Linked DNA regions of Caenorhabditis elegans. The protein of the gene in region 2 interacts with the protein of the main gene of each other region in a biochemical or structural test. Each region holds a gene or a part of one and is shown on either strand. Other genes may lie near its edges.

Region 1 (4,423 bases), on a different chromosome or scaffold from region 2:
CGTCATTTCTCTATCCTTTTTAATTTTTCGACACTACTTGAATAACCCCATAAAAAAGCATTCCGGGATGTAGTAACTCATTGTCTACGTAAGTGACCCCAAAAACTTCTTATCGCTATACGTCTACGTATTAACTTCACTGACAGGAGAATACTTTTGAAGGTGTTCAGAAAATATTATTCTTTCCGTTTAAAAATTCCGCTAAGACTGTCTGTCAAGATATGAACACTTGAGACTTTTTGCAACAAAAAAAAACCAAACGCTTCAAAATACTGCAATTTTTATTGTTTTGATAGATTAAGAAGCGATTCAATTTGTTAGTGTAGCAGATAAATATGCTATTTTTTCTATTTAGAATTTAAAAAAATTAACAAGTATGCTGAAAAATTATATTTAAGGTTTTAGAAAACTTTTAAATTCTAAAGAAAATTGCTTTAAAAAAAGTCAATTAGACAAAATCATTGAACACTTATTTTTTCATAACTTTGATTTTTAACTTTGAAACTTCAGTTTTCCAACTTTTAAAAGCTGTTCAAATAGAGAAAACACACTATATTAGTAAAACAATACAAGTTTTATTCATTCTCGGAAGATTTCAAGATAAACAAGAATCACATTTTCAAACTTGTGACTTTCAAATTTTTCAGACGAATTGAAGTTCACAACGGGATAAATACAAAAATCAAGAATTATAGTTGAATTGAATAACTACGCAAAGGAGATTAAGACCCGACATATGAGCTTGGCGCAGTTCTATTTATCAGAAAAGTTCGTGGGGACTTTGTTTCGTCGTCATGTCGATGATTCCAACTTCCTGAAAAATTGTATTTTGAATTGAACTTTTTAGTCAGAAAAAATTGTGAGTAAAATGTAGTTATCTCAAGTAGATGATTCATCCTACAATTTTGTTTGAAAGTACTCACTTCGAGTTCCTCTTAAACTATTCTTTCTGGTCCATGGGAAGAATAGTGCTCGGAACGTGGAGAGATACTCATTGGACATGGTGCAATAGAGAACGAAGCTAACAGAGCTGTACAACAGCGTCAGCATTTCCATCAGATTTCCCACTGGATCGTAATACCGATTTCCGAACTCTTCACCGTAGATAGCCACGCACAAGTTAAGAATACCCATGGGTAGTTCTACCTGGAATCAGACATACGTTTCATGGTAATCATAGACAAAATAATATAAATAATCGTAACAATACAGCAATCACATACGATCAGACATTAAATAGTGACTAACCATTACACATAGGAGTAGAATGATGACGAGCATTCGTGTTGTGCGCGGTCTGGTCGTCAACTTTCTTTTTGCTTTTCTCTCGGAGTTGGTGCAAATGTTGGCACCTTGTGTACGCTTCCAGTTTTTACGCCTTCGTTCTACGCTTTTCAAAGATCTTATAAGAGCAATGAGTAGTATTGAGAGAATTAACGACGGAAGTAGTTTGAACACAATACCAAATGCCCAGAAAACTGCGGACACGAGAAGTGGACTCTCTTGATAACTGAGGTCGTACAATGGACCTTCCATTTCGCATTGCAAATCATAAGCAACGTGGTCACGAGCGACAATTTTAACCTGAAACATAGATGAAATCAGATTCGAGATATGAAGATTAACTACACAAACCTCGGATATGAAAAACAATGGAAGACTGATGATAGGAATGATGATCCAAATGATAACGTTTGCTGCGATTGCTGGCTGGCATTTATAGATGAATCTATTCGCTTGAATTGGAAACTTCAGTGCACAATACCGAAACACTGCGACAACGATCGTCGTTGTGAATGCAACTGAAAAGTATTTGAGTACAGTAATATGCTTGCCAATCTAAAAATACTTACTTGTATGAAATACTGTATTCAGGTTGACATTGAAGAATCTATATCTTGTAAATGCTTCGGACCATAATAATTGAACACTGCAAAAAACTGGAACATTGTTTTTTTTATTTGATGCATGACGTACCATTGATATCTATAATACTCAAGCAATAAGTAAAGGAAGTAATTGGTCGCTAGGAGCCATTGTGCAATGGAGAGACCTGTGAGCAGGATGTTTATTGGGGTTCGCATCCGTTTTCTGGAATAACAGGTACATTCATCCGTAAAAAATAAAGAAATATATAACTTACCTTGTGAGCACAATAATATTGAAGACGTTTGAAGCGGCTCCGAATATACAGATAGAAATTGAAAGAGGAATATGAATTTCATCGTAGTACTGCAAAAAGGACTTGTCAGTTATGGCTCGCGACGAGACATTTGTTGCATTTTCACGACCCGACAATCCGAGTTCCGTCCATTTCCCCATTTTTTCACTCTTTCACGTTTCGGAACGAGCCCGAATAGGGAAGCAAATATGGGAAAGCAAAAAAGATTCCGGTTCAAAATGCTGGAAAAGCTTCAAACGTCCATTCACAACCGGATTATCCCAGCGACAATCTCTAACAACGAGATAGCAGGAAAAATTGGACGACAAAATAAATATTCGTTCCAGTCAAAACGGAGTGGGAGGGAAAGGGGAAATCTAGTGAAATCAGTGTTGGAAGTTCCGCCCACTGTGTAGCGCGTGCCCCTGTCTATCAGCTAATTATTTTTCAAGTTGTGTGCATCGCGTGTCCCCCCAAATGACACCATACTGATTCACTGGTGCCCAGTCAGAAACACATAGATGAGTCTCTGAAAGACTAACTCGCAGTGTGAGGCCGTAAAACGGGTTTACGATCGGCTCCCAATAGAGTCTCGTACGCAACTAACACCCAAAGTACACGTGCAGAATTGCAGAATTATTTAGGTCATTTGAGGAATGGGACACTACTCCGAAAATGGGGAAAATGTTTGAAACTGTTCATATGCCGCTACATTAGGTCCTGATAGGTTTTGTTCCCCCAAAATGTTTTAATTTTCTAAAATTAAATTTTCCACCTTTCAAATTAAAAACAAAAACAAAAGTACGGAACAAAGCATTCGTTTCTCCAAATCGTTCCAAAAAAGTTCACGTTTTTGTGGTTAATTGTAACTTAGAAAATTAAAACATTTTGAGGGTAACAAAACCCATGAGTACCCTACAATAAATCATAATAGCAAACTTTTCGAGTCCAATTTGACAAAATTTTCCAAAATTTACATTCGGAGTTGCTTGAAATTTCTCAAACAGTCCAAACTTTTAGAAAACTTGACAATTTACCAAAACTTTGATTGAAATTTTTTGAAAAATCGGAGCATTTTTGAAGTGTTGCACGATTATATTTGACTATTATGAATGTGATTAAATAATATTCCCACTGATGATACTCCAACTTTGATAGTTTCACATAAGTGTTTAAACCAAGTGAAAATTATATTTTCGATGTAAATTTGTCTAGACAGTGACTTTTGTCCTATTATACAATTTGAAATTTCAAGGGTTCAAACTTTTGAGGTTGCTTAAAAAAAACGTCCATGCTTTTTGATAACTTGGTAATTCACCACAACTTTTACTGAATATTTTGAAAAATCTAAGAATGTTTGGAGTGTTTCACAATGATATTTGTTCATGTCAGACTATCATGATTGTAAATTCAAACCCCCCCCCCTCTTCACTGATGTTACTTTACTATTAATAGTGTTTATAAGTGCTTTAAAAACGTTCAATGTTCTTGAATATTCAAAATAGAATGTTGCTTCAACACATCTAATCTCATATCTTGAGACATTTTGCTCTCCGATTAGTGATAACAATTAATTTTTCCTAAACTGTTCTTTGGCAAATATCAAAATTGAAACAATGATCCTATGGCTTCTATCACAAATTTGCAATTTTTCCAAATTTCCAACGCGTCATCAAAACCACCTCCCGAGATTTTAATGCTTTGAACTCACCATGGCAAACATGTGGATATAGCATTCGAAGTATGTACAGATCAGTGTGTCATTCATTGCTGAAAAGCTGTCATTGTGTTCTATGATGTTCTCCATCTGCAACAAAAGACCTGTGTTGTTTTCAAAGTTATGCAGGGAGAAGAACAAGAAAACGTGAGGAAACGGAGGTGAAGGCAACAGAAAAAAGATCAGGAAAAACCTTTTGACGTTATATAAATTATTAAATCATGAGCATTATATAAAGATTTCTGGAGTATAGAAAGTTCCATACCTTAAATGAGTTCAAAATTCAAGAACAGTACGTAGAAATGATTAATGTCTAGTCTCGGGAACTTATATTCCCCTGGCACGGTCTACCGTCATATAAGGTTTTCGCAGTACATTCTGACAAATTTATTGTTGCAGAAAGAAAAAAAGAAAATTGAAAAAGACACGAACGCAGCTTGAGATAAATAATTTTCGAATCCGGTACACCGTCATTCTCCTACAAAATGAAGGAAGGTTGACTGAATAATTAAATTAATGTTTTCTTTCATGCTATTTTCAAGACA
Region 2 (3,901 bases):
CATTTTGCAATGTTTTCCTTCTGAAAATCAAATGAATTAAGAAGCCTGAAAATTTGAAACTTGCGTACCTTTTGTGATAGAAATAATTTTCCAAATTTAATTGGAAAAGAAGTTGTGAGAACAATTCGAAATAATCAAAAATCGATTGATTTTATAGATTTTCGATGTTTGTTTTTTCCAAGTTGTTTTTTTGCGTTCTCATTTCGGGTTCACGTTTTTTTTTGTTTTTGGATTTTTAAAACCAAATGCTGATGTTTTTTATCACTTGGCTCAAAATGTCCTTATAAAAAATGTTACTTTAATCGTCAGGACTGCCACCTCCTTTTTTATTTAGAGTACACACAACCCCCTGAAGAATTACTGTAGTAATCACAAATCTACACAAAAAAATCTTAAAATTTGTCTCTCTTATTTGATTATATAAAGGACGAAGTTTGGGGTTTCATATGCAGTTTAATAAAAAAGTCTTAAATTAAATTCAGTTGGTAATTTCGGCGGTCGCCAAAATTATGACTAGTTCGTTCTTGTACTGATTGAGTAGTTTTCTTGGAGCTTTAATGTTTAACAGATCTCTACTAAAGTTGTAAACGTCAATTAGTAGATTTTAGTGATTAATAATAACGTAATAATGTAATAACTGGGAAGAAATAAACACAAAGTCATAATAGAAGCAGATTCTTTCATCCATATTCACAATACCCTGATTCACGAACTCGGAAATGTTCTATTGAAATAGAGAACTCAAAGTCTTGAGCATAATAATTTTTATGATATTAAATATAAAAATACAACAAATCGTTTTATTCGCTGTGTATTTTGAAACTGAAAATACTGGAATGCGACAATCAAACAAAAAAGCATTGGGATGTGTTCGGGGGTCGATGGGTGGAGAAGAATTCAAGAGAAATAAAAGACGAAAAAGAGAAGCAATTGTAAAATTAAATGAATATAATTTATTTGGTGACATTTTAGTTAAAAGCGCTTCGAGATCAAATCTTCGTTATTAGAAATATGAAACGAATATTTTTCAGGTCAAGAAATTTGATGAAACGAAAACTTGACGACTGGTGGGGATGGTTGAGAAGAAGGAATTAATTGTTCAGTGTTCAATAATTGTTGGATTACTGTAACATGAGAATGAGAGACTAGACGAGACGCAGAGAAAGAAAGGGCGCATGATGACGTGGATTTTGTTGAAGATGATGAAGAAGATGATGAAAGAGATGTCGGAATGCCGGATTCAAATGAGAAGTTGGTCGAGATACAAAAGTTCTGCATTTGGATCGACTCTTCGTTTTCCGAATCGAATGTATCCAGAGCGTGCCTTTGGTTGACGCTTCTCCGATGCGACTTGACGACGAGCACGGGAAGCTGGAAATGGATTATTAAGATAGTTTTTACTCTGATCAATCCACTTTGATTGACAGTTTTCGGTTTTATTTTGTTTCTCTTTGACGCTGGGAAAACTCAAACTACAGAATATTATTCTGTGAGATCGCCTAAAAACAACAAAATCAGTTGTTTGCCAGTTGCAAAACTTGTAACAAACAAATCTGTGTATTTTACCCAAAATAGCTCGGTTTTTTATAATGACTAAGCCAGCTTGTTAAAAATTTTTCGAAAAAAATCTGATGAAATTGGAAGTTATTTAGTAAAGGAGAACTAACGATATTATGAAGGCATACTCAAAATGTTTTCAAGTGAACGAATTTCGTAGTGAAAATTCTCATATGCCCAAAAAAACCAGTAAATTTTTCTCATGGTTAAAAAACGCAACTTTCAATATTTCAGATTCTTACATGATTTTACTTTGACTCATTTACCGAAAACTGAGTGTATACTAGAAATACAGTTAAAAAGCTTACCATCGCTGATAGGAACAGCAAAAACAGCGGCCAAGCAGAGAACAAAAAAGACGAAAACGATGGAGAGTTGCATCCTTTGCTGTATGAGTTGATTGCCTAGAAAAGTGTCCATGATTCGAGAATAAGAAAAGATTTAGGCGTATAATTAGTGAGATGGGTGAATTCATGGTAAGGTCATGAGAATGAGGAAAGAGGAAAGAAAATGAGAAAATGTTGAAACGAAAGTAGGTACTCTAGTCTCTGAAGAAATGTTAATAATATCAAAAATTCAGCGTGCTTCTTGGTGGTCTTCTTTCATCTTTCACTCCTTCTTCATCACATCATCTTCGGGTCTTTTTTGATCACGTACTTTTGATGACGTGGCAAATTGAATTGTTCTGGTAATGTCTAACAAGGAAAAGGAATAATTGAACACTTCTCTCTACTCATTTCAAAAACAAACTGACCTTTATTATCGGTCATAAACGTTAATTGGATAAGAAAAGTGGAAAAAGAGAAAGGTGAGAGTAAAAGTGAGATCTGAAGAGGAGGTTATCCATTTTGAATATAAATCTCAGATTTCGTTTGAAAGATGAATAATTTGGATACTGGAATTTTTAGGTAATGCACAGGTTTTGAGGGCTTGGATCATAGGTGCGCGACTATTTCCATTCGACAATCGAATTTTTGGCAATTTCGGCGATTTGGCGAATTTCCGGAAATCTGAATTGCCGAAAATATAAGTCTGATAATTTTTGCGTCAAAATATTATTTCAAACGAAGACTAATCTATTATTAAAGAACAAGGCTGATTTTTTTAAAATTTTCTAACTTTAGTTAGGTTTGAAAATTGCCGAAACAGTCCGGCACTCGGCAATTTCGGCAATTATCAAAAATGTTCGATTGCCGCAAATCCGGGCTTAAATGTGATCACGTCTCGTTTGAGGATGGGGCTCGCGCGTGTATTTGATTTGTGGATTCATTGGCACCTGTTGTCAAACGGTATCATATACTTTTGACCTCTAATTGCAAGCTAGCTTGAAGTCATGACAGTGGTCCTGGAGGAATTACAATTGACACCACTTTACATGTAAAATAAATCAAGACGTACTCTTGAATTCCAGAGGTCTCTAACACTAAAACAACTTGAAAACCCCGAATTGAGTGGCCAAGATCATAAAACTGGTGTACGTACCAACAACTACCATCTCATAAAAATGGAATGAAAAATAAAAAATTCGACTTCAATTCTTTGCAGAAGAACACGACGGGCGGAGCATCCTCCCCTGCTCGTTTACAAGCTCCACCCCCTTCGACCCGAATGCTCTGTGGATGAATGATGACGTGGCAAGGGTGGGAGAGATGTGATAACTGGGTCACATCAAACACAAGCCTAATGTGTTATTTCCGTATCAAAGATGGAAAGAAAAATAGATATTATGATGGAACGCAGAATAAGCAAAGAAAAATACGAGAAAGACTAAAATAAACATTTGAAATGAGAACAAATGAATGTAGGAAACAAAACGAATATGGCGGAACTGATCTCGAGATTTTCCGAGTTCAATTTCGTGATTCTTATCAGAGCTGTGCGGCTCTTCGAATCGGGGAAAATCGGAATTTAATTCGAGAAGTAGACACTTGTAAGAAGTTGTATATGATGAGTAGACGAGATAAAACACTAGTCATTAGCCGAGTAATTTTCAAAAAATTTCCCACGTTTTGGAGATGTTCACCCAGGTGCCGAATCGCGAAGCAACACTAGTTTTTTTCCAAAAGTTTTTGTCTTATGATTAGCATATTTTTCCGATTATTTATCCTATGCAATACAAAAAGATCCTTCTTCTCCAACGAAGAAAAATAATTTTTCTCTATATGCATATAAATTTAGCACAGCTCTGAAACCTACAGTAGAGGAGAAACTAAATAATCATAGGAATAATTCGATCTCCGAGCTCTTGAACTCAACACTAATTGAACATTTCTCAACGGTTCAAGTTGTTTTTTCGATTCGAACGTTGTTGTCATGCTTTTCCGCCCTCTATTCATATCCACTA

The links.
Region 1: of the proteins of flp-10 (region 2) and egl-6, one has a biochemical effect on the other in vitro, tested with the Caenorhabditis elegans proteins (2 studies listed by BioGRID, with this or other methods).

The regions. Positions count from the first base shown.
Region 1 is NC_003284.9:5,930,667-5,935,089, reverse strand, and holds egl-6 (G-protein coupled receptors family 1 profile domain-containing protein), read right to left. Parts: upstream 2,505-4,423; 5' UTR 2,323-2,504; coding exon 2,144-2,322; intron 2,092-2,143; coding exon 1,978-2,091; intron 1,931-1,977; coding exon 1,854-1,930; intron 1,803-1,853; coding exon 1,636-1,802; intron 1,585-1,635; coding exon 1,249-1,584; intron 1,147-1,248; coding exon 924-1,146; intron 815-923; coding exon 723-814; 3' UTR 558-722; downstream 1-557.
Region 2 is NC_003282.8:7,866,967-7,870,867, reverse strand, and holds flp-10 (FMRF-Like Peptide), read right to left. Parts: upstream 1,962-3,901; 5' UTR 1,939-1,961; coding exon 1,866-1,938; intron 1,372-1,865; coding exon 1,241-1,371; 3' UTR 787-1,240; downstream 1-786. Other genes in the region: T06C10.3 (Tyrosine-protein kinase), read right to left, coding at 1-3.